Callithrix jacchus: one gene and its partners. The protein of the gene in region 1 interacts with the protein of each later gene in a pairwise test. Links are inferred from orthologs where the notes say so. Each region holds a gene or a part of one and is shown on either strand. Other genes may lie near its edges.

What was found.
Region 2: the proteins of NTAQ1 (region 1) and ASL interact in binary tests that used the Homo sapiens proteins (3 or more experiments, as listed by UniProt). The two-hybrid records come from large-scale screens. The link is inferred for Callithrix jacchus from reciprocal best matches to the Homo sapiens genes NTAQ1 and ASL.
Region 3: the proteins of NTAQ1 (region 1) and PSME3 interact in binary tests that used the Homo sapiens proteins (3 or more experiments, as listed by UniProt). The two-hybrid records come from large-scale screens. The link is inferred for Callithrix jacchus from reciprocal best matches to the Homo sapiens genes NTAQ1 and PSME3.
Region 4: the proteins of NTAQ1 (region 1) and PNMA5 interact in binary tests that used the Homo sapiens proteins (3 or more experiments, as listed by UniProt). The two-hybrid records come from large-scale screens. The link is inferred for Callithrix jacchus from reciprocal best matches to the Homo sapiens genes NTAQ1 and PNMA5.
Region 5: the proteins of NTAQ1 (region 1) and EDARADD interact in binary tests that used the Homo sapiens proteins (3 or more experiments, as listed by UniProt). The two-hybrid records come from large-scale screens. The link is inferred for Callithrix jacchus from reciprocal best matches to the Homo sapiens genes NTAQ1 and EDARADD.
Region 6: the proteins of NTAQ1 (region 1) and MIF interact in binary tests that used the Homo sapiens proteins (3 or more experiments, as listed by UniProt). The two-hybrid records come from large-scale screens. The link is inferred for Callithrix jacchus from reciprocal best matches to the Homo sapiens genes NTAQ1 and MIF.
Region 7: the proteins of NTAQ1 (region 1) and NECAB2 interact in binary tests that used the Homo sapiens proteins (3 or more experiments, as listed by UniProt). The two-hybrid records come from large-scale screens. The link is inferred for Callithrix jacchus from reciprocal best matches to the Homo sapiens genes NTAQ1 and NECAB2.

What each region holds. Positions count from the first base shown.
Region 1 is NC_133517.1:73,988,187-73,992,512, reverse strand, and holds the start of NTAQ1 (protein N-terminal glutamine amidohydrolase), read left to right. Parts: upstream 1-1,398; 5' UTR 1,399-1,506; coding exon 1,507-1,589; intron 1,590-4,326. UniProt on the Homo sapiens protein: Mediates the side-chain deamidation of N-terminal glutamine residues to glutamate, an important step in N-end rule pathway of protein degradation.
Region 2 is NC_133503.1:3,261,431-3,265,272, reverse strand, and holds part of ASL (argininosuccinate lyase), read right to left. Parts: intron 661-3,842; coding exon 466-660; intron 96-465; coding exon 12-95; intron 1-11.
Region 3 is NC_133506.1:121,061,097-121,065,663, forward strand, and holds the start of PSME3 (proteasome activator complex subunit 3), read right to left. Parts: upstream 3,110-4,567; 5' UTR 3,024-3,109; coding exon 2,949-3,023; intron 2,861-2,948; coding exon 2,828-2,860; intron 2,708-2,827; coding exon 2,645-2,707; intron 2,447-2,644; coding exon 2,342-2,446; intron 202-2,341; coding exon 153-201; intron 1-152. UniProt on the Homo sapiens protein: Subunit of the 11S REG-gamma (also called PA28-gamma) proteasome regulator, a doughnut-shaped homoheptamer which associates with the proteasome. 11S REG-gamma activates the trypsin-like catalytic subunit of the proteasome but inhibits the chymotrypsin-like and postglutamyl-preferring (PGPH) subunits.
Region 4 is NC_133524.1:149,110,917-149,115,362, reverse strand, and holds the start of PNMA5 (paraneoplastic antigen-like protein 5), read left to right. Parts: upstream 1-1,398; 5' UTR 1,399-1,482; intron 1,483-3,239; 5' UTR 3,240-3,367; intron 3,368-3,810; exon of another isoform or gene 3,811-3,954; intron 3,955-4,051; 5' UTR 4,052-4,113; intron 4,114-4,306; 5' UTR 4,307-4,411; coding exon 4,412-4,446.
Region 5 is NC_133520.1:48,942,413-48,946,866, forward strand, and holds the start of EDARADD (ectodysplasin-A receptor-associated adapter protein), read right to left. Parts: upstream 3,107-4,454; 5' UTR 2,948-3,106; coding exon 2,890-2,947; intron 1,980-2,889; exon of another isoform or gene 1,785-1,979; coding exon of another isoform or gene 1,754-1,784; intron 1-1,753. UniProt on the Homo sapiens protein: Adapter protein that interacts with EDAR DEATH domain and couples the receptor to EDA signaling pathway during morphogenesis of ectodermal organs. Mediates the activation of NF-kappa-B.
Region 6 is NC_133502.1:192,628,010-192,631,158, forward strand, and holds MIF (macrophage migration inhibitory factor), read right to left. Parts: upstream 1,674-3,149; 5' UTR 1,581-1,673; coding exon 1,473-1,580; intron 1,285-1,472; coding exon 1,112-1,284; intron 996-1,111; coding exon 929-995; 3' UTR 807-928; downstream 1-806.
Region 7 is NC_133521.1:41,621,860-41,626,420, reverse strand, and holds the start of NECAB2 (N-terminal EF-hand calcium-binding protein 2), read right to left. Parts: upstream 2,826-4,561; 5' UTR 2,811-2,825; coding exon 2,604-2,810; intron 1-2,603. UniProt on the Homo sapiens protein: May act as a signaling scaffold protein that senses intracellular calcium.

The DNA of each region.
Region 1 (4,326 bases):
GGTTCTGTTTAGATGTGTTTCCAGGACTTTTTTTTCAAGATTTAGAGCTTCTTTTAGCAGTTCTTGTAGTGGTGGCTTGGTAGTGGCAAATTATCTCAGCATTTGTCTGGAAAAGACTGTATCTTTCCATCATATATGATGCTTAGTTTTGCTGGATACAAAATTCTTGGCTAATTATTTTGTTTGAAGAGACTAAAGATAGGGCCCCAATCCCTTCTAGCTTGCAGGGTTTCCCACTCATTTTAAAGGAGAAACGTTTACCAGAGTTGTTATTTAGCATAGAGGCTATGTGGAAGTTTGTATTAAGAGCTGAGAGGCAATAAAATTGGTAACTGACAGGAACTATGCTCGGTCTTTAGGATTTATCAGCTTTGAGACTCCTGAGACTGGAGAATCCGACTGTGGATAGCTAAAATCAATGTAACATCTCAGTTTTTATAATGAGAAGTGTACCCCCATTAGCTATCTATGCTCATTGCAAATATGAACAATTCAGAAGACTAAAGTGTAAAGTGAAAGTCCTTGAAACTTAAAGTCCCTGATATTAATACCATTCATTCACCAGAGATAAACACTATTTTAACAATATGATGTCTTTTCTTCCAGACTGCCAGTAATTGAACAAATATATGATTAACACATAAAGGATACCATATGAACTCTTTAAACTTCTAAAATTTACTGTATCAGGGAATTAATATACCTTTTCGAGCCAGTAGATATAGGTCTTCCAATTAAAAAAATTAAGTTACAATAGAGTGAGATTTGGGGTGCTATCCTTTTCGGAAAGCGTCCTCGATGAGGTCATATTTGGAATTACCCTTCACGCCCCACGTCTTCTCTGGGCTCCCGCGGACTCCAGGCTGAGTGCTGAATTGTGGATTTTCATACCCAAACCTCTGTTATTTCAGTATCTCACCTGGTTCCTCCACAGCGCAGAAGCGCATCCCAGGTTGGAAGAGCCTCTCCGGGGAGACTCAGCGAAGCGCTATTCAGGGCCCAACTCAAGCCCAAGCCTAGCTCCTCCTCAGGTCGTCGCCAGAGACCCCACTTCTCCCGAACCTCACCGGTACCCCGCCCCTGACTCCGCCCACCACAACACGCGGCCCCGCCCCTCCCCACCCCAGGCTCCACCCACCATCCGGGCTCCGCCTACCCGGAACCACGATGTCGTCCTTGTTCGGGGCTCCGTCCACTGGGAGCTCGCGCCACTCACCCCACCCCCGACCCGCCCATTTAGCTCGGGCTCCACCCTCCCAGGAACCTGCGCCGCTCGCCCCGAGCTCCGCCCACTTCGTCCCGGGATTCCCGCGCCGGGAACTCAGGCTGCTGGCCACGCCCCACCGCGCTCCTGGCCCCGCCACCCAGAAACTGCCCCGGCTGCCCCGCGCTCCGCTCATCCCGCCCTGGGTGCGCGTGCGGGCCGCTGCACGCCAGCCCCTTCCTTTGCTACGTCAGGTCCAGTCGGTCTTCCTGCGGCTGGGGCCCTGGCTGAGCTAGCCGGCCATGGAGGGTAATGGCCCCGCTGCCGCCCAGTACCAGCCGGCCAGCCCCCCGCGGGACGCCTGTGTCTACAGCAGCTGCTACTGGTGAGGAGACGCGGGCGCAGCCTCCGGGTTTCCCCGGCTCCTGGGCCGCGAGTCGCAACCGTGGCTTTCCTCTTCCCGGCCCCTTCTCGCGGGCGCTCCAGGCCTCGACCGGCGGGTTCTACAGTTTCTGCGGGAGGAGGGAGCAGGAATGGCAGCTCTCGTCTCTTGAGTAGAGCGTGGGCTATTGGATGGGGTTGGGAATTCTCCGGAATCATAGGGTCGTTAGTGCATTTCCTGTGCTTGGTGCTTGTGGGTTGGATTTGCTCTGCAGATCTCTGCTTGGGGGCAAGGCAGGGGTGGAGCTCTGAAAACCTTTGGAAGTTACTCTGCTGAAGCTTGTGGGGTTTAGGACTTAGGTGAAGGCTATTTTAATTTTGGAAGAGAATGGAGGCACAGAGAGTTTGGTGTAACTTGCCAAGGTCACCCAGCTAATAACCCTGAATCCAGTTCAGGCTCCCTGACGTCAGAAACCATGATCTTAACCGTGTTGTCATTATAATAATGGTTACATTTACACAGCGCTTGCTTTAGGCCACGCATTATTCTGGGTAGTTTGGGTAACATAAATCACTGAGCATCACAGTCACCCTAAGAGGTAGGTATTGTTATCCTCATTTTAAAAGATGAGAGCACTGAAGCACAGAGGGCTACAAGTAATTTGCGCAGGGCCACGTAGCTTGTGAATGAAGGAGTGGGAATTTACAGGCAGAGTCTGGCCCTGGAGTCCACGCATTGCATTTCTGTCCTAGGCCACCTCTGCAGCTGAAGCACCACCCCTGCCTTGGTACTTTTTGATTCCGATACCTGCTCTTGCCTGAGTAATGGCTTCTTCCCCAGCTTCCAGTCCTTGCACAGGAAACCTCAGGGCTCTCTAAAATTACTCCTCCCCTTTCTGCTGGTCACTAAACCAATGCCACCAAGAGCTTAGCATTTGTTTGGCCCTGATTGCATGTCAGGCTCAGTGCCAGGTGCTTCCATCGATGTGCAGGAGGTAAATTCTTTTATTATCATTATCTTCATTTTACTAATAAAAAGCCTGAGTCACAGAGAGGCTGTTGTGTGCCCCCAGATCATACATCTAGCAAGTGGTGGTGCTGAAACTGGAACCTCTTTGTGATTCTGAAGTTCATGTGTCTTAACTGTTGCACTGTTTTTCTGCCCTGCCTCTCTTCTAAATCCTTTTAGTTCTCCTCCCTAATGTCCATTCATTGTTTTATTCGTTCTTTCAATAAATGTTTGTTAGGCAGTTGGTAATATGTGGTACACTTCTGGGCACTGGGACTATAGCAGTGAACAAAATCGACAAATTCCCTCATGAAGTTCTTGTTATATTTTGATGAGAGAAAAGCAGACAAGGCCAGGTGTGGTTGCTTAGGCTTGTAATCCCAGCACTTTGGGAGGCAGAGGTGGGTGGATCACTTGAGGCCAGGAGTTTGAGACCAGCCTGGCCAACAAGCAAAAACCCTGCCTCTACTAAAAATACAAAAATTAGCTGGGCAGGGTGGTGGGTGCTGGTAATCCCAGCTACTTGGGAGGCTGAGGCAGGAGAATTGCTTGAATCCAGGAGGTGGAGGTTCCAGTGAGCCAGTGCCACTGCCTTCTATCCAGGGCAGCAGAGTGAGACTCCATCTCGAAACTAAACAAAAAACGACAAAAATGAGTAAGCAATGCTTGGGTGGTGGTAAGTGCTGTGAGAAAAATAAGATAAAGCATGGTGACTTATTTTCTATTACGATATTTTGAGAAGACATTGTTATCAGGTGATAACTTGAACAGAGATCTGAAGAAAGAGGGTGAGAGCTTTGCAACTTTTGAAGAATGGTTATTTAAGCAGGGAGGATAGCAGGTACAAAGGCTCTGAGAAGGAATCCTGCTGTGAGTATGATAGGAACAGCTCAGAGGCTGGTACAATTGGAGTACTGAAGTAAAGCAGTCTTGTAGAAGAATGGTAAGAGATGACCACTCTACCACAGGGTTTCTCAGCCTTGGCTCTAGTGACATTTTGAGCATGAAAATTCTTTGCTGTGGGGGCTGTCCTGTGTATTGCAGGATGTGTAGCAACATCCCTGGCCCCTACCCACTAGATGCTGTTACCACCCCAGCCCTAGATGTGACAACTGAAGATGTCTCCAGACATTGCTAAGTGTCCTGTAGGGGTTGGGGGGCAAAATCACCTCTTGCTGAGAACCAGTTCTCTACCCTGTCTGAACACATCAGGTAGGACACCACACTACTTCCTGCAGCTGTGTGTGTGTGTTTTAAGACAGTCTCAGTCTATCACCCATGCTGCAGTGCAGTGGCGCAACCTTGGCTCACTGCAACCTCCGCCTCTCCAGCTCAAGCCATTTTTCTGCCTTAGCCTCCCCAGTAGCTGGGACTACAGGTGCCCACCACCACGCCCAGATAATTTTTGTATTTTTAGTAGAGACGGGGTTCCACCACGTTGGCTGGGCTGGTCTTGAACTCCCAATCTCAGGTGATCCACCCATCCAAAGTGCTGGGTTTACAGGTGTGAGCCACGGTGCCCGGCCATCCTGCAGGTTTTTTAACTTGAAATGAATGCCTCCTGTTTACTTCTGGGTCAGTAGTGCCTTTCCTGTGCTTGGTGACTGTTGGTTGGATTTGCTCTGCAGGTCTCTGCTTGGGAGTGAGGAAGGGTGGAGCTCTGAAAACCTTTGGAAATTATTCTGCTGAAGCTTGTGGGGTTTCAGACTGAGGTGAAGGTTATTTTATTTTG
Region 2 (3,842 bases), on another chromosome or scaffold:
AGGGGTCGTACCTTTAGGCGGCGCTCGTTGGCTGTGTGGATGTCCTCATCATTGGGGTTGAGTTTGAAGGTGCCCTGGGCCCACTCCTCAGCCACCTAGAGCAGGTAGCAGCAATGCCAGGGGTCAGGTGAGCAGGTATCAGCAGCCAAGACAGCCCCTGCCCTGGTCCCACCCGATCCCTCATGACTGACTGTGCCTGTCTAGGAGCTGAGTCCTGGAAGCCCACCCTGGGAGGGGGCATCTCGGGCCTAGCACACCTTCTCCCTTGAGCCGTGTGGGCCACAGAGGTCATTAAAGGATGGAGAGAGGTGGTCATCAAGGCACACAGTTAAACAGCACTTGAGTACATAATTAGTTCAGTGTGAAACTGCAGACGGGCAACGCTGCACTATTTGCTCAGGGACTTGGTGGGAGCCTGGGGTCACAGGGAGGGGCCTCGGGTGGGGCTCGGGCCGCGGTGAGTACCTTGTCTAGGCCATGGAGTATCTGGTCCATCTCGGCCGTGGTGAGGAGCCCTGCCTTCTCCAGGCCCCTGCTGTAGGCTTTGCTGCCTTGAATATCCACCTCCCACAGCTGCCGGTCGTAGGTGATGGATGCGTTGAACTTCTCCATGATGGGGTCCACTGCGCCCACAAATCGGCCACCCCACAGCTTCCCACTCTGGCCAGGAAAGAAAGCAGGAACAATGAGTCTCTTCTCCACCCTCCAGAACAGTACCTCTTGCAAAGAGTCCTCAGGAAACGTATCAAGCCTGATGGTAGCGGGGGCATCAGATCATTCTAACTGGGCAGACAAGGAGGCTGAGACCTTCCCAGAGTCACCCTGGGAGCGAGCATGGGAATGTGGCTGGACACCGAAGTTTGGGTTCTTTTTTTTTTTTTTTAGACAGAGTCTTGCTCTGTCGGCCAGGCTGAAATGCACTGGCTTGACCTCGGCTCACTGCAACCTCTGCCTCCTGGGTTCAAGAGATTTTCCTGCCTCAGCCTCCTGAGTAGCTAGGACTACAGGTGCCCACCAGCACACCCAGATGATTTTTGTATTATTAGTAGAGACGGGGTTTCACCGTGTTGGTCAGGCTGGTGATCCTTGAATGATCCTCCTGTCTCGCCTCCCAAAGAGCTGGGATTACATGCATGAGCCACTGTATCTGGCCTTGAAGTTGGGGTTTCTTTCCCACCACATGGCACCACTCCAAGGAGATGGTGGCAGGGCTTGAGGCACCCCTGGGACCACAGTAGCTTCTCGAACCTTTCCTGCGACTGACCAAGGTGCCAGGTGCCATCCTAATTGCTGACACAACCCTGTGGGGTAGGCACCAATACAATTCCACTATGGACAGGGGGAAACTGAGGCACAGAGAGGCATGCAGCCTGCCCTCACTCAGGGTGGGTGAGCCAGGGCTGCAGCCCAGCAGTCTGAAGTTAGAACACATGCTCTTCACCCCTATTCCACCGGGGCCTCTGGGCTTGACTCTGGTGTCCATCAAGCATGTACCTTGCAACTCTCCCTCACAGCTTGGAGCCAGACTAAGATCCCAATTCCCACCACTCCCTTGTCTCTGAAGAGCACCCTGACACCCTCCAGTGGGTGACCCCTTATTTCCCAGGAGCGAAGGGCAGAGGGATGATATGTAGACATCTATGTTTTATTCTTTTTTTGAGATGGAGTCTCACTCTGTTGCCCAGGCTGGAGTGCAGTGGCGCAATCTCGGCTCACTGCAACCTCCACTTCCCGGGTTCAAGCCGATTGTCCTGCCTCAGACTCCCAAGTAGCTGGGATTACAGGCACCTGCCACCATATATGACTGATTTTTGTGTTTTTGGTGGAGACGGGGTTTCACTATGTTGGCCAGGCTGGTCTTAAACCCCTGACCTCAGGTGATCCACCTGCCCTAGCCTCCCAATGTGCTGGGATTATAGGCATGAGCCACTGTGCCTGGCCAGTTTTGTTCTTTAAACATTTTTTTTTTAATTCTTTTTTAGAGACAGGGTCTCACTCTTGTTACCCAGGCTGGAGTGCAGTGGCACCATCATAGCTCACTGCAGCCTCAAACTCCTGGGTTCAACCAATCCTCCCTCCTCAGCTTCCCCAGTAGTTAGGACTAGAGGCATGCGCCACCACACCCAGATTAAAGTTTTTTTTTTAATTTTGTAGAGTCAAGGCCGGGCGCGGTGGCTCACGCCTATAATCCCAGCACTTTGGGAGGCCGAGGTGGGTGGATCACGAGGTCAAGAGATTGAGACCATCCTCGTTAACAAGGTGAAACCCCATCTCTACTAAAAAATATAAAAATTAGCTGGGCATGGTGGCACGTGCCTGTAGTCCCAGCTACTCAGGAGGCTGAGGCAGGAGAATTGCCTGAACCCAGGAGGCGGAGGTTGCGGTGAGCCGAGATCACACCATTGCACTCCAGCCTGGGCAACAAGAGTGAAACTCCGTCTCAAAAAAAAAAAAATAATTTTTGTAGAGTCAGGGTCTCACTGTGTCGCCCAGGCTAGTCTTGAACTCCTGGGCTCAAGCAATCCTCCAGCTTCAGCTTCCCAAAGTGCTGGGATTACAGGCATGAGCCAAGGTGCTGGCCACATCTATGTTTTGAAAAAGGGCAGAGGCCAGGGCATGGGACAGATTTGGGAGGGCATAGAACACCTGGGGAGCAGCCCTAGTGCCCAGAGTGCCAAGGACTGGGAGGAAGGATGGGGTAGAGGTGGGCAGGTCACTGCACTGGCATCCTTTGTGAGGAAGGGCATCTAAGGTGGCCAATGGGGACATATGTTTTCCTCTGTCCCCCTGCAATGCACCAGACCTCTGTCAATCACCTGGCCTGGGGCCTATTGTTAAACCTCAGGGTTGGGAGGCCCAGGTGGGTGGATCACTTGAGGTCAGGAGTTCAAGACCAGCTTGGCCAACGTAGTGAAACCCCAGCTGTACTAAAAATACAAGAATTAGCCAGGCGAGGTGGCGGGCAGCTGTAGTCTCAGCTACTTGGGAGTCTGAAGCAGGAGAATCGCTTAATCCTGGAGGCAGAGTTTGCAGTGAGCAGAGATGATGCCATTGACTGCAGCCTGGGTGACAGAGGAAGACTCTCAAAAATAATAGTAATAATAAGTTAAGGATATAGTACCTATCTAATAGCCTTGTTGTGAGCATTCAATCAGATAACACTTGCAAACTGCACACATAACACGATGCCTGGCAATCAGGAAGGACTTGGGAAATGTCAGCTGTTATTAGCGGAGGGCTGGCAGGGGACAGGATGTGCTTCAGCGCCACTCCTGATTCCTGTGTGCACCCCAGAGACCTCTACAGTGCTCTGGTCCTGAGCTGTGAGCTGACCTCTCCATGCCCAACCGCCCTGGCTGCCAAAGGACTCTGCCCTGCAGAGGCAGCCTCTGCCCCCACCAGTCTTTTGAGCTGGTCCTGCTCCTTACCCCACCAAGCCTAGATCTCCAGCAAAGTGCCACATGGGCCCTGGTCCTGATCACTGGGGCCAGCCAGTCATAATTGGAAGCAGCCTGCCCCTCAGCCGGGAGCCTGGCACCACCTCCCCCAGGGGGTTCCTGGGCCACCCTGCCTGGGATGTTAGTTAAAACAACAACTACTTAATAAGCAGAGCCTCAGCCAAACCAATTAGTGCCAACCTACAGGAGGGCCTGGGGCAAGCTGAGGTCACCTGGAGTGCTGGGCTGGTCGGAGGGCAAACCACTCTGCTCTAGGACCAGGCTCCTTCCCTTACTGGCAGGCAGAACAGGACCCCATGGGGAGATCAGAGTGAGGGGCCTCCCCTTGGGCACTGAGGAGAGGGGAGGCCCAGTGTGGTAGCAGAAGGTGCTACTCCAAGCCAG
Region 3 (4,567 bases), on another chromosome or scaffold:
AAATAACGAGCACGTTTGGAGGAGCTGGGAATGCTGCTTCTGGGAAATAAGATTAGATCTTGCTTCCTGGTCAGAACACTATATCCATCCTGCTTCTCAGGGCTGCAAGTCAGGGGTGAGGTGAGGGGAGAGGAGGTAAGGGTGGCTCTTACCTTGGAAGGCTTCTTCACACTCATCCAACCTTCGCTTCTTATAAGTGGGCTATGGATACAAAGAGGCAGGGATGAGCCTGCTTTTGACACCCACATTTCCATCACAAGATACCCTTCAAACAAGTTTAATCCCTTCCTCAGCCTCACAGCTTGTGTTATTAATTTCTGTACAATTTCCTAAGTACATATAAAGCTTTAAGAAAAGGTTCTCGGAGGCTGGGCACAGTGGCTCACATGTGAAATCCCAGCTCCTTGGGAGGCCCAGGTGGGTGGATGACCTGAGGTAAGGAGTTCAAGACCAGCCTAGTCAATATGGTGAAATCCTATCTCTACTAAAAATATGAAAAATTAGCCAGGTGTGGTGGCAGGCGCCTGTAATCCCAGCTACTTGGGAGGCCGAGGCCGGAAAATCGCTTGAACCTGGGAGGCAGAGGTTGCAGTGAGCTGAGATCACACCACTGTCTTCTAGCCTGGGTGACAAGAGCAAAACTCTTCTCAAAAAAGAAAAAAAAGAAAAAGAAAAGATTCTTGGGCTGGGCGCCGTGGCTCATGCCTGTAATCCCAGCACTTTGGGAGGCCGAGGCATGTGGATTACTTGAAACAAGCCCAGGCAATGTAGGGAAACCCCATCTCCACAAAAAATACTAGCTGGACATGATGGAACATGCACCTGCAGGCCCAGTTACCTGAGAGGCTGAGGTAGGAGGATGGCTTGAGCCCAAGAGTTTGAGGCTGCAGTGAGCCGAGATTGTGCCACTGCACTCCAGCCTAGGTAACAGAGTGAGACTCTGTCCCCCCTCAAAAAAAGAAAGAAAAGGTTCTTGCCACAAAGCAAATTATGCTCTAGTTGGGAAGACCAATCTTTCCAGAAATACAATACATTAAGTATTATAAAGAATAGGAAAAAAGAACCAATCAAAGCAGGGAGGATAATTAAGGGAATATGTACAAATCTGCTGGTTCCACAAAGGAACACATTATTCAGTCAACAAACATGTATTTAGCAACTGCCATAGATGAGGATCAACACTAGGCACTGGGAATACAGAGAATAAGATAGTTCCTTCCAGCTGGACCACGGTGGCTCATGCCTGTAATCCCAGCACTTTGGGAGGCCAAGGTGGGCGGATCACTTGAGGTCAGGAGTTCGATACCAGTCTGGCCAACATGGTGAAACCCTGTCACCACTAAAAATAAAAAAATTAACCAGGCATGTTGGTGTATACCTGTAACCCCACCTACGCAGGAGGCTGAGGCGGGAGAATCACTTGAACCTCGGAGGCAGAGGTTTCAGTAGGTAGGTCAAGATCGTACCACTGTACTCTAGCCTAGGCAACAGAGTGAGACTCTGTCTCAAAAAAAAAAAAAGAAGATAGATCCTGCCTTCCAGATATACAAGTTCCATCAGTGAGGCAGTACTACAGACAAGAATACAGTATCATCAGTGTTCTAACAGCACGTGAACATGTGACTGGTAAGGACTAGGTGTTAAAAATGTAGAGCAAAGACGGTGATTGCAGTTATATAGCAAGAACAACTCTGTATCCCGTAATACTACTCAGGACATAGAAAAAAGGTAAGTAAAGTCTTCTTCAGAGCCATGGGAAAATCCAGGTAACCTGATAAAGCTAGTTTTCTTTTATTTGAAACTCACTCTAACACTGAAAATAGCATTAGCATATTGACTTCATGTCATAAATGAAACTCAGGGTCTAAAAGGAATATACGAGAGGCCCCGTGCAGTGGTTCACGCCTGTAATCCCAACTCTGGGAGGCCAAGGTAGGCTGATTGCTTGAGCTTAGGAGTTGAGACCAGCCTGGACATCATGGTGAAACCCCGTCTCTACAAAAAATACAAAAATCAGCTGGGCATGGTGGCGTACTCCTGTAGTCCCAGCTACTTGGGGGGCTGAGGAAAGAAAATTGCTTGAGTCCGGGAGGTCAAGGCTGCAGTGAGCAGTGCTTGAGCTGCCACAGTCCAGCCCAGGCAAAAAAAAAGTGACACTCTTTCTCAAAAATAAATAAATAAATAAGAAATAAAAGGAGTACACTAGAGTCAGCATGTCTATAACAGAGTCCTAGTTCCCAGGTCCAAATCCCACTGTTGCCTCTGTACATGTTGAACTGACAAGGAAACAGGACAGAGGACCGACTGCTCAAGAACACAAAGATAAACATAGGACACTTACACCATCCAGTCCATCATGGCTATTGGTGAGAAGAATGGGGTCAGGGACTGGGAGATTCATGTCAGAGTGGATCTGAGTTAGGTCATGGATGTTTAAGATTGGTTCCTGAAAGACACCCACCCCAAAACATTAATCTTTTCAAGTTGAACAAAGAAGTATTTGATTTGAAGGGCAAGAAATCAAAGTGCTTTTACAGTTTAAAAAAATAAAAAGAAGAAGATTCAACACACAATTTGTCCCGCTTGACAGTAATACCAGGGCCAAAAAAATTGGGGAATCTGAGGAAAGAAAAGGGTCTCTCACCTTCAGAAAACTATCAAGTTCTAATAACTTCTTTGGGAAAAAATTTGCCACCAAGTCTTCTGCCTAAAGAGGAGGGAAAATACAGCTGAATTAGTATCTGTGGGAAGGTCTCTCTATATAGATATCTCCTCTTTGGGAAACTCTCAATTAACCAACACCCATTTTTCTATTTATTTCACTCACCTCACTTGTGATCCGCTCCCTGAAAGAATCAACCTAAAATTAACAAAGAGAGCAATTGAGTACCTGGGGACAGAGGTAAGAGCAGGATAGAGAATCCCAAATCCAACTGTCTTTCCCTCACCTTGTAACTGTAATATGAAGCTGAGAGGCCCCCAGACTGCAAATACTTTATTTTTTTGAGGACCCATTTTTCCATCTCAGGAGAAGGACGCAGGGCTTGAGGGCAGCACCTGCCTGTCTCCTCTCCTCTCCCTCCCACCCTCCCTGTGTCTGAAGCTGTCTGAATTTCATAAGCAGACAAAAGACAGGTAGTTAGGGGAGATGTGAGCTCACAAACGTGCCAATCCCCACCCAGACTTGGCCTATGATACAAGGCAGACCACCAAGGGCAGGGGCAGTGCCCAGGGACGTTGCTGGGCTGGGGGATTTCCAGCTGTCACCGGCCTAAAGCCCTGAGTCCAACACGTGTCCGCGGAGGTGACCCCGGGACTCTTCATCATCAGACACGGTACAGAAAGCCATCCTATATTTTCTTCTCCCGCGAAGCCGACCCCAGGAGCTGGGGGCTGGGCTGAGCCGAGCGGAAGCTCAGAGCTGGTATCCCCAGGGAGACAAAGACGCCATGGGGAGTAGGAAGCCGGTCAGACTACTGGGGGATCAAAGTGAGGGGCAAAAAGGCCGGACTGGCGCCGCTACCTTGAGCTTCACTTCCTGATCCACCTTCAGCAACGAGGCCATGGCCGGGCCGGGCCGTGTCCGATCCGCGGGACACCGGAGGCGCTGTGGACTCCGGGGAGGGGGCCAGAGGTACCTGCGGAATCTCGGCTGACCTCGGGACCCGGCCGCCCTCGCTGGCTCACTCACTGCTCGCTCGTTCCCTCCCTCCGTGCCGCCCGCCCGCCCGCCGGCAGCCTGCTGCCTGGTCGCACTCTCGCTCGCCCTCCCGGCTTTCGCCGCTCACGCCGGAAATTGCGTCACAGCCAATCGCCGAGACTTCTGCGAGGTTGTGCACGTGCCCTGCGCAGCCGCGATGAGACTCGGCTTTGGACGCTCCGGGCGGGGTTCACAGGGTCCGGGCCAAGAGTCGGATAGGGGTGAAGTAAAAGGGAGAGCGGTGGGTGATGGTGCACTGAGAACTGAGCCTCCGAGAGACTCGGAAATGGTGTGACCCTCTGTTGGCCCGGAACTCGCCTTCACCGAATGGAATTTCTCAGCCGCTGCAATCCCGAGGACAACGCCGTCGCGCCCCAGTGACGTAGGCTCGGAGAAGTCGGGGACCCGGGTACTGGGTTCTCGGGGTGTAGTCCCTGATTCCCGCTGCCTCTGCCGAGCCTCAAGTGTTTAGGCTAGAGCGGAAACGACAAGTGCCGTTTTATCAAGCTTTCCTGATGCATTTCTCTTCCACTGATTCTAGCAAGCTTCCAGACCTCAAAGATACTATCTAATGGGCAAATTGACGGCCAGAGTAGGGTAGGGCTTGTCCAAGGCGTTTCCAGTACATTCTGAGCCAGAACCCGTATCTCCAAACTTCTACGGCAATGCTGTATCTATTTTTCTAATGGAAGCTTGAGACTATACATCTTCATTCACCCATTCATTCGACCTCTCGAGATTGGATATTTCGTTCAATAAAATGGGCCAGGGCACTGTCTCAGAACCTAGAAATATGTGAGTCACACGTAGACTAGAATCTTCTAGCAGCCACGATTAAAAAGTAAAAGAAACAATTGAACATTTTAG
Region 4 (4,446 bases), on another chromosome or scaffold:
TAAAGATTGCCAGGGTATTTGTGTGCATCTTGAAGTAGGCCGTGAAATCAGGAGAATAATGGGAGAATAGAGTATTTTCAGTCATCTGGCTCTAAGTAAGCAGAAAAAAAAAATTATGGCCTTGTGAAATGCAGGCCGTAGCTGTATTTTTTACCTTCCTACCCCAGAACGCAGTCCAATAAAAAATACACAGGTGCTATGAGTTTCAGGTAGTAAGTAGGCTCACACCCCCTATTCATTATACGTGGCCTATATGCTGCACCCAGTGATGTGAACCAGGTCCTTCAGACACTGCTTGGGACACCACAGCTCCCCTCCAGTGGAAAAGAACCACAATGGCTGCTGGGACACATGGTAAATGAAGAGCCTGGGTGCCACCGTCGTCTAGCTAGTAAACTACAGGCGTGGGAGGTAGTCTGCAATGGAAGTGGCACCCAGTTGTTTTTATTGTCTGTTCTAAAAGGTGCGGGCTGGCACAGGCTCGCACGGGTGGTAGTGGGGTGGTGAGGACCCGTCGCATGGGAAGTAGGAGGGTTTGTGTCATAGGTGAGGAACTGTGAGTGGGCTGTGTGGAGTTACAGTGGGGGAGGGGGCGGTCATCACCCGATAGCCTCTTCCCGCGTCAGGTTGAAAAGGGGTGTGTGACTTTCAGGTAGTACACACGCTCACTTGGCCTATTTGTTACACATGGCTTATATGTTGTACTCGGTGATTTGCACCTGGCCCTTCACACACGGCTTGGTACGGCATAGCTCCCCTCCCACGGGAAAGAAACAGAATGACTGCTGGGTGACGTGGCAAGTGGGGAGAATAGCTGCCGCCATCGTCCAGTCAGTAAACTATAGACTTCCGAGCTAGTATGCAATGGAAGTAGTTCCCAACTGTTTGTATTGTATTTCCTCAAAGGTGAAGGTTGGCGCAGGCCGGCACAGTCTGGCAAGGGTTGGGGTGGGGTAAGGAATTCTTGATAGGGAAGTAGGAAGGTTTATGTGGCCACTGCACAAATGTGAAAGAGCCGTGTGAAGTTTTGCTAGGGTGGGGGTCATCACCCAAAAACCTCTTCCCGCCACAGCCTTTAACAGGATCTGTGATGTTGAGGTAGTACGTGTAGTCATGTGGCCTATTGGGTACATGTGGCGTGTATGAAGAGACTGGTGCTACCGTTGTCCAGCCAGTAAAGTACAGGCATCTAGTCTGTAATGGAAATGGCTGCCAGCTGTTTGTATTGTATGTTCTCAAAAGTGCGGGCTCGAACTGGTGGGGTGGGGGTGAGGAGTTGCTTGGCGCGGGAAATAGAATGCTTTATGTCACTAGTGCGCAACTGTGAGTGGGCCGTGTGCACTTCCGCTGGGCGGGGAGGCGTTACCAGACAACCTCTTCCTGTCATAGCCTGGAGGCGCATTCGGCACAGAGGCGGCAGCCGCCTTAGACGTGTGGTGGTCGCGCTGCGCGATCACTCCAGCTTACAGGCCTTTCTGACAGGTACGGAGCTGGGCCTGGTCATACAAAGCAACCTAGATTAGGGGGTATATCGCCAATAACTTGCTATTTTCCACAGGGCCTAGGAGTTGCTATCCATAGTTTTCCAGGCAGAACTTCTGGGAGACCTTAGGCTGGGCAGGCCGAGACGGGTGTATCACTTTAGGTGAGGAGGTATAGCCTACCCAAGATGGTGAAACTCCGTCTCTACTAAAAATACCAAAATTAGCCGGGCATAGTGTTGGGGACCTGTAATTCCATTTATTCAGGACAGTGACGCAGGAGAATAGGTTGAACCCTGGAGGCGGAGGTTATGCTGAGCCGAAATCATGCCTGCTGCACTCCAGCGTGGACAGCAAAGGGAGACTATTCGTCTCAAAAAGAAACAAATTAAAAAATACTTTCTGGAGGCCTGTTCCACCCTCAACTCTTGACCCTTGTCCGTGCAGAAGAGCGGCTTCGGATCTTCTCTCCTAGATCCTGCCGCCTTCCACTGGTGCTGGTAGTTGGTTTATGTAGATAACAGGGTAGAGATGGAGGGAAACGGGAACGGACGTACTGGATTTCGGTACAGGGGGTTAGACTTGTATGGCGTAAGTAGTTGGGCTTCGTGAGTGGTCACTCATTGCGGTACGGATTTGACTCTGGGTGCGGGCAGGATTGAGTTACGACTTAGACATGGGTGGGGGCAGGGTTGAGGCACGAGTTCGACTGTGGGTGCCTGCAGGATTGAGGTAGGAGTTAGACATTGGGGCACGGATGATGCACGACTTTGACTGCGTGTGGGGGCAGGGTTGAGGTAGGAGTTAGACATGGGTGGGGGGAGGGTTGAGGCACGAGTTCGACTGTGCGTGGGGGCAGGGCTGAGAAAGGAGTTAGACATGTGTGGGGGAGGTTTGATGCACGAGTTCGACTGCCAGTGGGGGCAGAGTTGAGGCACGAGTTAGACGTCGGTGGGGGCAGGGTTGAGGCACGAGTTCGACTGTGGTTGGGGGCAGGGTTGAGGTAGGAGTTAGACATGTGTGGGGGAGGTTTGATGCACGAGTTCGACTGCGAGTGGGGGCAGGCTGGAGGCACGAGTTGTACGTCGGTGGGGGCAGGGTTGAGGCACGAGTTCCACTGTGGGTGGGGGCAGGGTTGAGGTAGGAGTTAGACATGGGTGGGGGGAGGGTTGAGGCACGAGTTCAACTGTGAGTGGGGGCAGGGTTGAGGTAACAGACGTGGGTGGGGGCAGGGTTGAAGCACGAGTTAGACGTGGGTGGGGAAATGGGTTGGATTTCGTGCTGGTTGGGATTGCGGTAGAGGTGGATCTTAGGTGTACGCACGTGGACCTTGGCAACGTGTGGTGGTTATGGTGAGGTAGCTAAGCGATGCAACATGGCTGCAATGCCGTAGCTTCCGATCAACATGGCTGCAGGGGCGGAGCTTCGGACAACATGGCTGCAGGGGCGGAGCTTTGGAGCGAGTAGAGTTTGCAGTGGGGGTGGGACAACAACCTTATCCTACGATCCCTTCTGTCCTATCAGCAGCCCCCACCAGCCCCCACCCTCCACCTCCCTCACCATTCCTTCCCATACTCCCTCTTTCCGCACCCCTCCCCCTTCCTCCCTCCTCCTCCCTCTGCCAGTTGAGCAGTTTCTTCTGTGGCTGCGCCAGAGTACTACTGGACACCTTTGCAGAATCACAACTGCCGTGGCCTGAGCAGAGACGTGTGTGTGGGACACAATCACAACAAAATACCTCTGCTTTGCCTTGGACAGATCCAGAGAAGCAAGACCCGTCACTGCTAACTCAGTAGCTGCCTAACTGGACAGAGCTGAAGAGCGCAGCAAGTGTGAAGTGGCTGTTATTGCAGCTTCCACGCTGCTAGCAGAGCCAGCCCAGCAAGGTGAGCAGCTGTGAGGTGGGCTCTGGTGGGAGGGACTCTGGAACCTTGGCAAAGAGTGAGGAGACAGGACTCACTGCAGGGTTCGCAAACTCTGCAGGATAGGGCCATCGCTAGGGCAAGAGTTGTTCGTTTCCTGCAGTCTGGCAGTAGGGACCTTATCTGCGTCCCTTTTCTGCCCGATTTCACCTTCCACACAATTTAAACCATGAACTCCTGTCCTTCTTTGAGCACTCACTCCTCATGCCTACCTCCCCTTTCCTCACCTACCCTCCTTGTTGCTAGGATGCTGTATTGGATGAAGACCGATGACATCACCTGTTGCTTCTCAAGGGCCTTAGCCTCACCACATGACACTACCATACAATAGCAACCCATGGTCCATGGTATGCTCTGTATCCATGGCAACACTGCAGTTTCTCACACAATCTCCACACCCACCACTCATTTCATTGCGCAGAGCTCCGGCCATCTTTCTCCTCTGTCAGGCATTTCCTGAGAAACACGGCCACTCCACCTCTCCTGCAGCCAGCCTTCACTTCCATTCCAGCAAGGAGGGTGCCAGGTGACCTGAGCCCACATAGCCCTGAGTGAGCAGTGGGGCAGTCTCCTGACTTTTGCCTGGAGGGCTTGTCAGTGTCCTCAGGTGTCAGGCCCTGCCTCCTGACGTTGGCCTTTTCACTACAGGCACCTGCAGCACACCCGGCTGAGTCCTCTGGACATCGAGGAGGAACCCACAGCAGGAGGAGGTCAGCAGGGAGTGTGGTGAGGTGGGGGGATCTTTGCCTGGGGAGACCCACCACACTCTGTTCTCCACACAATGACTTGAGCCTTGGGTAGCAGGGACTCCATCCCTGCTGGGGGTGGGGGCAGAGGGAGGGGCACTTGGGAGTATACGTTGGGGTGGGCATTAGCAATGCTCTTATCCCATTTGCTTTGCAGGCTGTGGAAACCTGTGACACTCCTGCCTTCCTACGTGGCAGTGGCTCAGAATCCTTTGAGTGCTGTCAAACCGAGCTGATTGTCGGTCCTTAGAAAGTGGGAGTAATGGCGGCAACACTGCTAGAGGATTGGTGCAAGGG
Region 5 (4,454 bases), on another chromosome or scaffold:
TGAAGGTTTTTTCCTTCCTTCCTTCCTTCCTTCTTTCCTTCCTTCCTTCCTCTCCCCCCGCCACCGGCTTTCTTTCTTTATACAGATTCTTGCTCTGTTACCCAGGCAACACCTCCAGGACTCAAACAATCCTCCTGCCTCAGCCTCCCAAGTAGCTGGGACTGGTATGCACTGCCACACTCGGCTATTTTTTTTTTTATTTTTTGTAGACTCAGGGTCTCACTATGTTGCCAAGGTTAACCTCAAACTCCTGGCCTGAAGCAATCCTCTTGCCTCAGCCTCCCAAAGCGCTGGCATTACAGGTCTGAGCCACTGCACCCAGCCACTGAGCTTTTTATGCACTGCGGTCACTGCTTAGCTATTTCCCAGCCCCCATCTTGCCTGGTACTGTCGATTTAGATTTTACATTTTATCTCTATGCAGTGTATCTCTCTCAAGGTCTTTTGTGAATCCACCCCCAGCCCTACAATCATCATTTAATGAGATCTGAGACCATGATTAGTCAGATCTAGCCTCAAACACCTCTTGGCACCTTGTCAATTCAGTTCTCAGAAGAGGAGGTGGATGCTAGGGTGAGTGGAGTGGCACAGGGCAGTAGAAGGATTTCTTTGTTTGTTTCCCCCTCTATTTTTTCAAACAATAGGTATGGGGATAGGGAAGAATATCTAGACAATGTATTTATTTTCCACATCTAATTGATACAATGTTTACCAATCCCCACTTAAAGAAGAAGGTAGATCTTTCTTTGAAAGTCTCCAAGAAACTCCCCCAAACCCAGCCATCACAATGCCAACTTGGCTGTTGGGTGTAGACTCTTGACCACCTTCAGACGCACTGTCTCCTTCTAACCGCTGAAGCCATAATATAAGGATGGAACATTCAAACTCCGCCGCTGCCCAAGCTCAAGAAATGAAATAGGAAACGCGTTTATGTAAACGGTTATATCAGGTTCTGCGTAACTCTCTTCAGTGTTTCCAGCCTCAACAAAACCACGAAAAGCCCCAGTGTACTCTGGGAGACAGATCATTCATTCATTGTTGTGTTCAAGAAACACGCATGGAGGTCACCGCATAGGTTATAGGCGAGCAGAGAGAACTCCAGGAAAGCAAGGTGTGGGACGGATTTTAGATTCACGTGAAAAATCTCCACTCTGACCTCGGGTACCAACACATATTTTAAAATAAAGACAGAGTAGAGGTCATTCTAACCACAGATGGGATCTCACAGGTGGGATCGGCCTCTCGCTTCTGCGGATACTATCTCATGAAATAGTTCCCAGGGCCAATGTTTAGACAAACAAAACCATTTCATCAAAGCGCAATGGGCAAGAGGGAGAGGAGAAATGAGAAGGCATGTGAGCCGGGAGAAAGAAAAAGCCCGAGAAGAGACAACGAAATCCACCCCACTGCGCCCATCTCTGCCAGAGGTTTGCGGGACGTGTCTCAACCTGGCATCTCGAGTCCAGAACAAAAGCAACCCGCGCTGCGGCGCGGGCAGGGGGAGGGCGCGCGGTGGGTGACGCGGCGCAGGGGCCGTGGGGAGCGCAGGAGGGGCGGTCAGCAGCCGCTCGCGGACCTGGGCTGGGGGCCCCGCGCGACTCCGGGTTTGGCGCCTGGATCGGGGTGGTCGCCCGGCGGCCCTCAAGGGTCACCGAGGCTCGGCCTCGATGGCCCTGCAGCTGCTACAAGCGCCTCCCGAGCTCCCGACCCGCGGCGCCCGCTCCAGGTGTGGGCACGGCTCTGTGTCCCTTTACCTGCGCCCAGAGGTTCCTCCGGTGAAGCCATGGGGGCGGGTTAGGGGCAAACAAGCGTCCGAACGGGGCTGGCCGGCCTTCGGGGCGCGGGAGGACAGTGGGACCTCGGGGATGGACAGTCCTGCGGCTCCTACGCGCCTGGAGCAAACCTCCGCGGCTCCGCGCTCCCCGGCCTTCCTCCGCCTTCTCCTCCTCCCTCCTTCTTCTTCTGCTCGGCTTCTTCCACGAGCTCACTTCCTGCTTTGGCAATTAGCAAAGCCCCTTCGCCGGGCGTCCCTCGGTACCTCCCTCCAGAGGCGCGGGGCGGGAGCCGGAGTGCCGTGACCCGGGGCTGGGAGGCCAGGAGGGGCCCCGGGTGTCCCCGGCGTCCCCAATGCCCGGAGCGCGCTCCCTGCCTGGTGCCCACGTTCCCCTGGCCGGCTCCTAGCGGGGGCCTCACACGACTGCCGCCCGGGACAGACCGCGAGCGAAGGACTGGCCTTAAGAAACGGCTGCAGACGCGGGTCGCTTTCCTGGCGCCCTAATCAGGCCCTCAGCGGAGGCACCAGAACTCCCCTTACACAGGCCTGGGCTGAGATGCCCGCCGGCGATCTGATATTTGAACAATTTCCCGATCTTTAAGCAGTCTCTGCCGCTGCATGATGGCACACGCTGGTACTTTCTATTTTGATTTTTCTTTGGCATTAGACCTCCAGGGTGAGTGCCGCACAAAACGAGTGAAAAGAAGTTGCCCGATTCACACGCACACCCTCTCTAGAAGAAACAGCTTCGGGTTCTCTCGGAAATGCTGACTTCAAATATTTAAAATAATACGTTCAATACCCAGGACTTAAGTGAGAACACGTTGGAATTGGTTATGAAGAATATATTTAAGATTGCTATATTTTAACTAAAGCTATCATCAACCTTGAAGCTATTATAGGAAGGCTACGGGCATTTTAAACTTAGTAGGAATCTTTGAAGAGCTCTAAATAATTTTTCTCTGTCTTCGCACATAAGAACGGAAAGATAAAAGTTGGGTGGAAAGAGATAATAGTATTTAGTGTCCAATATATCAGAAAATTATCATAAATAAGCAACCTCTGGCTAAAAACCCAGCTCTTAGAAACGTAGGAAAACAACAAATGTCTACATACACTCTTGGTGACCAGGTTTAGTGCCTCTCCCCATCTGTTTAGTCGTCCTGAGGCCCATGGAATCTTGAATCTGGCTTCTTATTCTCTGGAGTTTGCCATGGAAGAAACAAGAGGTTCAGAGAAGATGCTCGCTGGGTATCTAACCGGAGTCAAACCTTCTAGATGAAAAGCTCTCCGTGAGAATTTGTGAGTGGGGGGATAAACTTCCTCTTGGTCTGCCTTCTGATAGGAAGGGAAATTTTTTTTAAGCATATCTTATCTTACAATCAATTTGGAGGTTTGGTTTGTGGTTCTTTCTGTAATTCTCATGAAGATGGAATTATTCTGACGTTGACTGTCAGGAAACACCAGTTGAGTGATCTTGTTAGCAGCCCAACCTCAAGGATTGCTCTAAAGCTGATTTGCTTTTTGAAACTCTGAACTGTAATTCTTTTTATCATTCCCATTCTGCCTTATATCAAATAGAAAATGAATGGTAGAAAGATATTTTAAGGTTTTTTTTTTTTAAGGAAGATTGACTAGTTATGTAGATTACTATTCCCTTTCATTTTCATTTCCTCTTTCCTATGAATTGCAATGATCCTCATCATTACCTTTATTTTTCCTATGTGCTTTTCGAAGTATAACGTATGACGCAAATGGGTGCTATTGTTGCTTCTGCACTTTACAAAAAAAGTAATTTAAAAACGATTCTCATTCACCAGAGTTCCTATATAATCAATTGCTGTCACAATATGTCCTTTGACTTTTATTCCTCTTGCTGTTCAAGAGGGTTTTAAACCACTGTTGAAAATGGACATTTTTGGGCCAGGTGTGGTGATTCACACCTGTAATCCCAGCACTTTGGGAGACCAAGGTAGGTGGATCATTTAAGGTCAGGAGTTGAAGACCAGCCTGGCCAACATGATGAAACCCCGCTTCCACTTAAAATACAAAAAAATTAGCCAGGTATGATGGTGTCTGCCTGTAATCCCAGCTAATCAGGAAGCTGAGGCAGCAGAATCACTTGAACCCTGGAGGCAGAGGTTGCAGTGAGCTGAGATCACCCCATTGCACTCCAGCCGGGGTGACAGAGCAAGACTCTGTCTCAAAAAAAAAAAAAAAAATAGACATTTTTAACATTTCCTGATAATAGCCAAACACTCAATCTCACAGTCATGTGAAAATTTTCATGTTTCCATAACTTCACTGCTCTTTGAGTGACCTCCAATCTTCCTTTTTCAATACACGGGATAGTGCATTTGGTAATCATGGAGTGAAATATGCTGGATTTGACTGATGGGACTACCACGTGAGGTTGTGTTACATTAAGCAAGAAACGATGAGTCTGTAAGTGTCTGCAGGATTGTGAGAATTCACTGAAATAATGTTTATGTGAAAATACTGGCTGGGCAGGGCAGCTCACACCTGTAATTCCAGCAGTTTCAAAGGCCAAGGTGGCAGGATAGCTTAAGGCCAGGAGTTCAAGACCAGCCTGTACAACATTTTGAGACCCAGTCTCTACAAAATAATTTAAAAATTAGCTGGATTCCCGCACTTTGGGAGGCCAAGGTGGGTGGATCTCT
Region 6 (3,149 bases), on another chromosome or scaffold:
CAGCCTGTCCCTCCTACCTCCCAACAGGGAAGCCCCAGTGTGTTTCCACATTCTGGGGTATGAAGAGATGAGGAGAAATTGGCACCCTGCCCTGGGCTGCAGACTCAGTACCTAAGGCACTTTGCTGCCTGAGGTAGATTCACGACTCTGGGCGGGAACCCACAGTTGAATCCCTTCTACCTAGGGGTCAGCACATGGGGTGCCAGAGGGGAGGCTGGAAAAGGGGGAGGAGGAGTTGGAGTTGGGAAGGAGTCTGAGGTCCTAGGCCTAGACCTTTCTTTCAGCCCCACCTTCCTCAGCCTTCTTGGTGGGCAAAAGGTAGCCAGAGGACAGAAAGATTCTCCCACCCAGAGCCACTCACTGCAAACAGCTGTTTTAGGGAATGTAAGGAGAGTCTGCAGGCAGGTGGGTGGGGAGGTGCAGTTATTTGTTATAAGGTTCTGTCCATCCCAAACCCTGAGCCTAGGTTCTGTTCCCCTCAGCCACCCAAGCCTCACCACAACAGTTCCCTGAGGAAATCAGGCGTGGGGTTTCCACTGGGACCATTCGTGTTTGCCAGACACATCTGTAAAGCCTTCCGTTACGTTTGGGCGCCGCTGCACACGCCTGTAATCCTGGCACTTTGGGAGGCGGAGGTGAGTGGAGTCTGACTACCCTGCTTCTCTCAAGACCTGAGTGGAGGCACAGGCCACCTGCTCTCTCCTCCCCTCCCACGGCATTCCTTGGATTAATCGTGCCTCTGAGGAAGTGAGATGTCCCTGTCATGCCTCCATGAGTGAATATGTAGCCACCGTAACAGCAGAAACTTTCTCTAACCGTTTATTTCTCCCCACCAGAAGGTGGAGGCGGGCGGGCCTAGAATACAGGGTGAGGTGGGTTCCCGGGTTGGGCCAGTGCAGACAGCGCGGGGAGAGGCGGGGCGCGGCTCTTAGGCGAAGGTCGAGTTGTTCCAGCCCACGTTTGAGGCGTTCATGTCGTAATAGTTGATGTAGACCCTGCAGGGGGAGGAGGCGAGACTCAGCGGGCGGCTCAGTCCCCGGCCCGGCACCACCGCCGCCACCCCCACCACCACTGGCCCCTCGCGCCGCGGCCCCTCCGCGCCCCAGCATACCTGTCCGGGCTGATGCGCAGGCGCTCGGCCAGCAGGCCACACAGCAACTTGCTGTAGGAGCGGTTCTGCGCGCCGCCAATCTTGCCTATGCTGTGCAGGCTGCAGAGCGCGCACGGATCGCTGGAACCGCCAAAGGCCATGAGCTGGTCCGGGACCACGTGCACTGCGATGTACTGCGGAGGAGGGGCGCGGTCAGCGAGCCTCAGCTACCTCGCCAGGCCTCTGGCGTCCACTTTGGGCCCTAGCCACCTCTTCCTCCCGCCCTGTCCCGCAGCCCCCTTCGGGATTCGCCTCCCCAGCCCCCAGTGCAGGACCCCCTCGTGCAGTGGGCACCCCCTCTTCCCGTACCCTCCCAACTAACCTGGGGCGGCTTGCCGGTGGCCTGCGCCAGCTGTTGGGTGAGCTCGGAGAGGAACCCGTCCGGCACAGAAGCCCGGGGCACGTTGGTGTTTACGATGAACATCGGCATGATGGCAGAGAGACCAGGAGATTCGCGCAGGGACACAGACGCAAGCACCGCTGCCGCGCTGAGCTACGTGCCTGAATTCTCGGATACGGTTCCGCCTTTTGGGACGTCACCGCCGGCGCCAGGCCTCCTCCCAGCGAAGCTGCGGCTCCGCCCCGAGTGGAGACGTCACCGCCTACCTCGGCTCCGCCCCGAGTGGAGACGTCACCGCCTGCCTCAGCTCCGCCCTGCGGGACCTAACCGTGAGCGACTCCGACGGCTCTTCCAGCGACTACCGCTAGGCCGGGCTCATCGTCCCTAGCGGATCTCCACGTGGCGGCTCGAAATCGGCTTCTCCCAGCCTGGCCTCTGGTCTTTCTTAGTACTTTTGTTGTATCCGACTGAGCACAAAAAGTCAACACCAAGACAAAAGTATGCCAAATTGCAGGGTTTATTGCCGGCGACCACGGAGGACTCACGTCTCTCCAACCCTTGGCAGAGAAAGAAGGGTGACAAGATCTTTTTATACCCGCAAAACCACCTTGGGAGTGGGGGTGAGGAGTGGAGATGGGAATGACAGCTGTCAATCACCTCCTAGGCTTAGACTAGGGTGAGGGGGCTCTGGACATTCCAAGGGCCAGGGGACTTTTGTCATTCCGATTGCCGCTTAAGAGGTTTACAGAAGTTAAGATAAACATTAGTTTATACATTATTTGGACAGGTGTGGGGTCCACAGATTTTTCAGTTGCTTGGCGCCAGGATGGAATTATCTGGGGGTGCTTACTCTGGTTAGTACCGGTAAACAGAGGCCAGCAATTCTGGCAGTTACAGATAAGAGAAAGTATGCAACTTTACCTCTCTTTACATTTTGCAAAGTAAACTTAGCAGTTTACAGAGGCCATGGCTAGCAGTCATTGTGAGGAGAATGGAAACAGTTTTGTCCTTTATAAACTGGCAGTGTACAAGTTCTAACTCTAGGCTAGCTATATCACACTTTCAATAAGTCACCGATGTTAGTCGCCAGGAGGCGCTGTGCCAGGGGTGGGGATGCGGCGGTGAACCCGGAAGATGGCCCCTTCCCCTTCCCCTTCCAGAGATGAAGCCCAGTTCATTCCACTGCACGCCCTGAGCCCTGTACGTCCTGAATCTTCCGGCCACACGTCCCCAAGGGCTCCAGTCCCGCACGCCTGAGCTTGTGTGTTTGAGATGGGGAGGGGTAGTCATTGCTGCAGGTGAGAGGAGAGCTGCCCCTGCGAGTCACCATTCAGGGAACTTAACCTGAACTCCTGCTCTTCAAAGAGGGTGAGGATGCTGGGAGTCACCAAAGGGAGGGAAGTGAGGTCCAGACCAGGTTCAGTGTGGGTAACGATAACAAATAACTGAATCCAACATTAAAATTACACAGTGAAAAAGTGACCAAATTTTGGTAATAATGTTGAATAATGATGCAGCTATAGATCAGAAAGAGACCTGTATGTACTGATAAGCAATGACCACCAAATTATATTTTATATGGGAAAGCCAGTCGGAACAACACACAAAGCGGAATTACATTATGTAAAAATATGGGCATGTCTTTCGGTAAGTGCATGT
Region 7 (4,561 bases), on another chromosome or scaffold:
TCTAAATTAGCGTCCCAGGGAGCGCCACAACTTTTACCACCGCAGTCCTTCCAGAACCCCTGGTGTGTTTCCAGGGAGGTTGGGTTAAGTGCAACGGAGGTGTTTGCAAGGCCTGGTGCCAACGACAGCCACAGGCAGGATGGGGTTAATTTTGGGGTGCAGGAGGAGAAAACAGGATGCTAGGAGCTCAGGAAAGCAGCCTCCATGAGGTTCTGGCTGCATTAGTCAGGGATAGGTGGGGGCAGCCCCAACGCTGGCCTGAACCTAGAGACCAGGTGTCTCGTCTTCCTGCCTTTCCAGTGACATCCAAATCCCTGGGACAGAGGTACTCCCTTCCCTCAAGGTCAGGCTGGCAGGTGCCGCTTGCCAGGCTGAGACTCTAAAGCAACATTCAGCCCCTTCCAACACCATCCCCTGGAGCGCTTTCCAAACCTCCTCAGCCAAGGCCACACCCCAGGAGGCTTGAATCAGCTGCTGTAAGGCCAGCTCTGATTTCAGCATTTTTCAAGCTTCCCAGGCACACTCAGCACTGACACCTGTGCGCTAAGACCTTGCTATTCACAGAAGCTTGTTTGCAATGGGAGGTGTCCCACCTACTCTGTGCTGTAGTGCACTCAGACCCTTCACTGTAACCAACACGTTAAAGCCTCAGAAGGATCCCAGGGTCTGGAGTGGCCCCACCCCACTCTTACCGGCTTGTTTTAGCAAGGAGGGTGCTGAGATCCAGGGAGGGGGAGCAACACGTGCACACTTCCCTAGACACCAGGGAGGGCTGCTGGGGCCAGGTCAGCCACAGAGGAGGAGGAGGTAATACTCACTGACCCTTCCCCACTTGGTCCTTGCCTTGGGGAAAAGGACAGGAGCCGCCGCCCTCCATCCCTCCAAGCAACGAGACAGGGGCACCCTTGGCCATTTCCAGGTGCCTGGGTGGTGTGGGACTGAAGCACAGCTCCGGAGGACCTCTCAAACATCACCTCTCCTCCTGGATAAACCTCAGACCCCCAGGTCCTCCTCAAAGCTCCAGCCTGGGCACCCGACACCCTGTTCCTGACTGGGCAAGGTCCCTCAAAGCTGGGGTCCCTATCTAGGTATCCCAGATCCCCCCCCTGAGGCCAGGAACCAGGCAGGTGCCAACTCTGGGCAGGAACGCTGAACACATGAGTGACAAGGCAGGGCTAACACCTGGTAACATTAGCCAGCTGCAGGAGTCTACACGAGCACCCCACCCCCCGCCCCATACCGGCTCATCACTCCAAGTGGCAGGTGAGGAGAGGGAGGCTCAGAGCCCCACCAAAGGGCTTCCCTGAAGGGCAGCCTGGGGTGGCAGGGCTCAGCCCAGGACTTTCAGTGAGAGCTCTGCTGAGGTCCTGGCGCAGGGAGTGGCTGCACAGGTGTGCGTGCCTAAGCGAGCGTGTGAGTGAGTGTGTGTGTGTGTGTGTGTGTGTGTGCCTGTGAGTGTGGCACTCTAGAGCTCCCCGAGCCCTGTCCAGCCCTTCCAGTCCAGACCCCACAGAGGGTTCCAGGAGCAGGGAAGAGGAGAGAGGAAGGGAGAGAATCCCCCCCCACAGGGATCTGCGATACACGTGCGTGTACACACTCACACACACCTCCAACTCTCCCAGAAACCCACCACATAGCCAGAGGCAGCCCCCAGCCCCACCCTGGAAGGACCCTGGCTGAAACACCCAGTCCACATCCCCAGACGCCTCCTCCACCTCCTCCCAGCGCTCTCTGCCTGGAGAAGTCTTCCTCCCCCGACCCACTCCCTGAAGATTCCTCCCTCCCGGGTGGGGCGAGGGGGAGGGTGACATTGGCTTCCCAGAGGTAGGTGGTTTGGGTCCCAGGGGAGTTAGAAGGGGTGAGGGGTGAGTGGTAAATGAAGAGGACCCAGCTCTCGGTAGGGGAGAGGGTGTGGGGAAGGGAACAGAGGACAGGAGGGGGCTTGGAATGGAAGGGCGGGGTGGGGAAGCCAGAGGAGTCCCGGCTCAGGGCTGATAGGCGATGGCTCTGACAGTGTGTAAAGGAGACAGAAGACAGAAGGTGGGGAGGGGGCTTCACTTGTAAAGTGGCAGTGGCTGGGCAAAGGGTCTTTGGGCGTGAGATGAGGTGGAAGGCTCAAGGTCTAGAGCGAAGCCAGGCAGGGGTTGTTGGGGGCCTCAGAACTAAGTATCTCTCCCGACAGGATCCGAGATGGAGAGGAGGAGGGGGCTGGCGACCGCGAGGGGCTCGTGTCCCGCAGGGTAAAGGGTGGGGGGTTGGCTGGGACAAAACTCGGGGGACGATGGCCGGGTCCGGGGGCTCACGGATCCCCACTGTGGGCGGGCAGGGACCCCGAGGAGCCCGGGTGGAGGAACGGAGGAGGGGGTCTCTCGGTCCAGGGAGAGGACTGGGCTGGAGACCGGCCCGGACATGGCGGGGCTGGGGGCTCCCGCTCTGGGACGCGGAGGGGCGGGGAGGGGCCGGGGGTCTCCTGTCCCGGTAGGGGGGCCTCGCGGGTCCCTACGGAGGCGAGCTAGGGCAGCGTCGGGGTCCGCCCGAGGGGCGGAGGGGGCTCCGGATCCCGGCAGAGGCCACGGCGGGGGTCCCGGCCGGCGCGTACTCACGTCCAGGATGACGGCGGTGCCCCCGCGCGGCGAGGCGGGGCCGGGGCCCGGGTCCGCCGGGTCCGCGGGGGCCAGCGGCGCCCGGGGCTCGCCCATCCTGGCGCCCACCCAGCGCAGCAGCCCGCCCAGCGCTCGGCCCTGCGGCGGCGGCTCCCGGAGCAGCCTGTGCGCGCCGGCCCTGCACAGGCGCGCCGCCCGCTCGCACATCGCGCCGCGCCCGCCGCCGCCCGGAAGCCCGCCGACCCCGCCTGGCCGCGGCCCGCCCCCGCACGACCCCCTCCCCGCGCGGCCCCGCCCTCCCTCCCAATGCCCGCGCGGCCGCGGACACCGCGGGGACTGGCCGGCGCCTGGGGGGGCGGGCCGGCCGGACCCTGAGCCACGTGCCCGCTCCCCGCCGCCCCCACCCCCGCCGGACGGGCACCCGGCCTGGGGACTCCCCGATGGGGCGCGGGGCGCGGGGCGCGGGGCACGGCCACAGAAGGAGCTGCCCGGAGGCGAGGGGAAGTTGAGGCCTGGGGGCGGGGCGGCTCCCCTGGGATCTGGTCCCCAAAAGTCTCCTGCTGCCCCCGCTTCTAAAGTCCCCCCCCTCCCACTCGCGGCGCTCTGCAGGGGCCTGAGCGCGGGTGTCCGGCGAGCCCAGAGCGCCCTCTGCCGGCTCCAGCCCTGGGAGCGGCGCCCACGCACCGCGGCTCCGTCACACCCTCCCGGGCCTACCCTTACCTCCAGCGGGGCGCATGCCCCCTCAGGCTGTCCCCTTCATTTCACAACTCCCAGAACCAGTCTTCACCCCAGAACATCTTTCCTTCACACTCCACCCACCCATCCATCTATGCACCCACCCACCCTCCCACATTCCCTCCAATCCATCCATCTATCCTCCGCCTCCCGTCTGTCTGTCCATGCACCCACCCTCCCAACCATCCACCCCCCATCATCCTCCCATCCATCCATCCACCCACCCACCACCCTCCCATCCATTCACCCACCTGTCCACTCACCCTCCCATCCATCCATCCACCCATCCACCCATGCTTTTATCCTCCCTTCCTCCCTCCCATCCATTCACCACCCGTCCACTCACCCTCCCATCCATCCATCCATCCATCCATCCATCCATCCATCCACTCACCCACCCATCCTGCCTCCCATCCATCCACCCACCTATCTTCCCATCCATCCATCCATCCATCCATCCATTTAAAAGATGCGTTAAGGAAAACCCACTAGGTGTCAGGCACGTGCCCAAGTGCTCAGTTCCAGCAATGGGCAAAACAGATGGTGTCCTTGGCCTCCTGGAGCTTACATCCAAATGGGCAGAGTCAAACACTGAAGTGATTCCACAAATAAATGAACAATTAAAACTGAACTGCTGGCCGGGTGTGGTGGCTCATGCCTGTAATCCCAGCACTTTGGGAAGCCAAGAGGGCAGATTACTTGAGTTCAGGAGTTCAAGACCAGCCTGGCCAACATGATGAACCCGCATCTCTCTTAAAAATACAGTAGCTAGCTGGGCGAGGTGGGGACACCTGCAATCTCAGCTACTTGGGAGGCTGAGGCAGGAGAACTGTTTGAACCCAGGAGGCAGAGGTTGCAATAAACGGAGATTGCACCGTTGCACTCCAGCCTGGACGATGGAATGAGAGTCTGTCTCCAAAAAATAAAAAAATAGAAAACTAAAACTGAATTGTTATGAAAAGGAAACACCTTGGACTATGAGAGGAGTGTTTGCTCCGGTGGCAGTGGAGGGGTTTATGTCAGAAACAGCTTCCAAGACGAAGTGATTCTCATGCTGAGAGATTCCAAGGAAGAGGAGTTACAGAAAGGCAGGAAAGTGTCCTGGGCTGAGGACCCTCTGTGCAAAGGCTCTGGGGCAGGCAGGGACCTGGCTAGCAGGAGGTACTGAAAGGAGGCTGCGTGGCAGAACAGAGAGGAGGGGGGCCTGGAACAGGCTGGAGGGT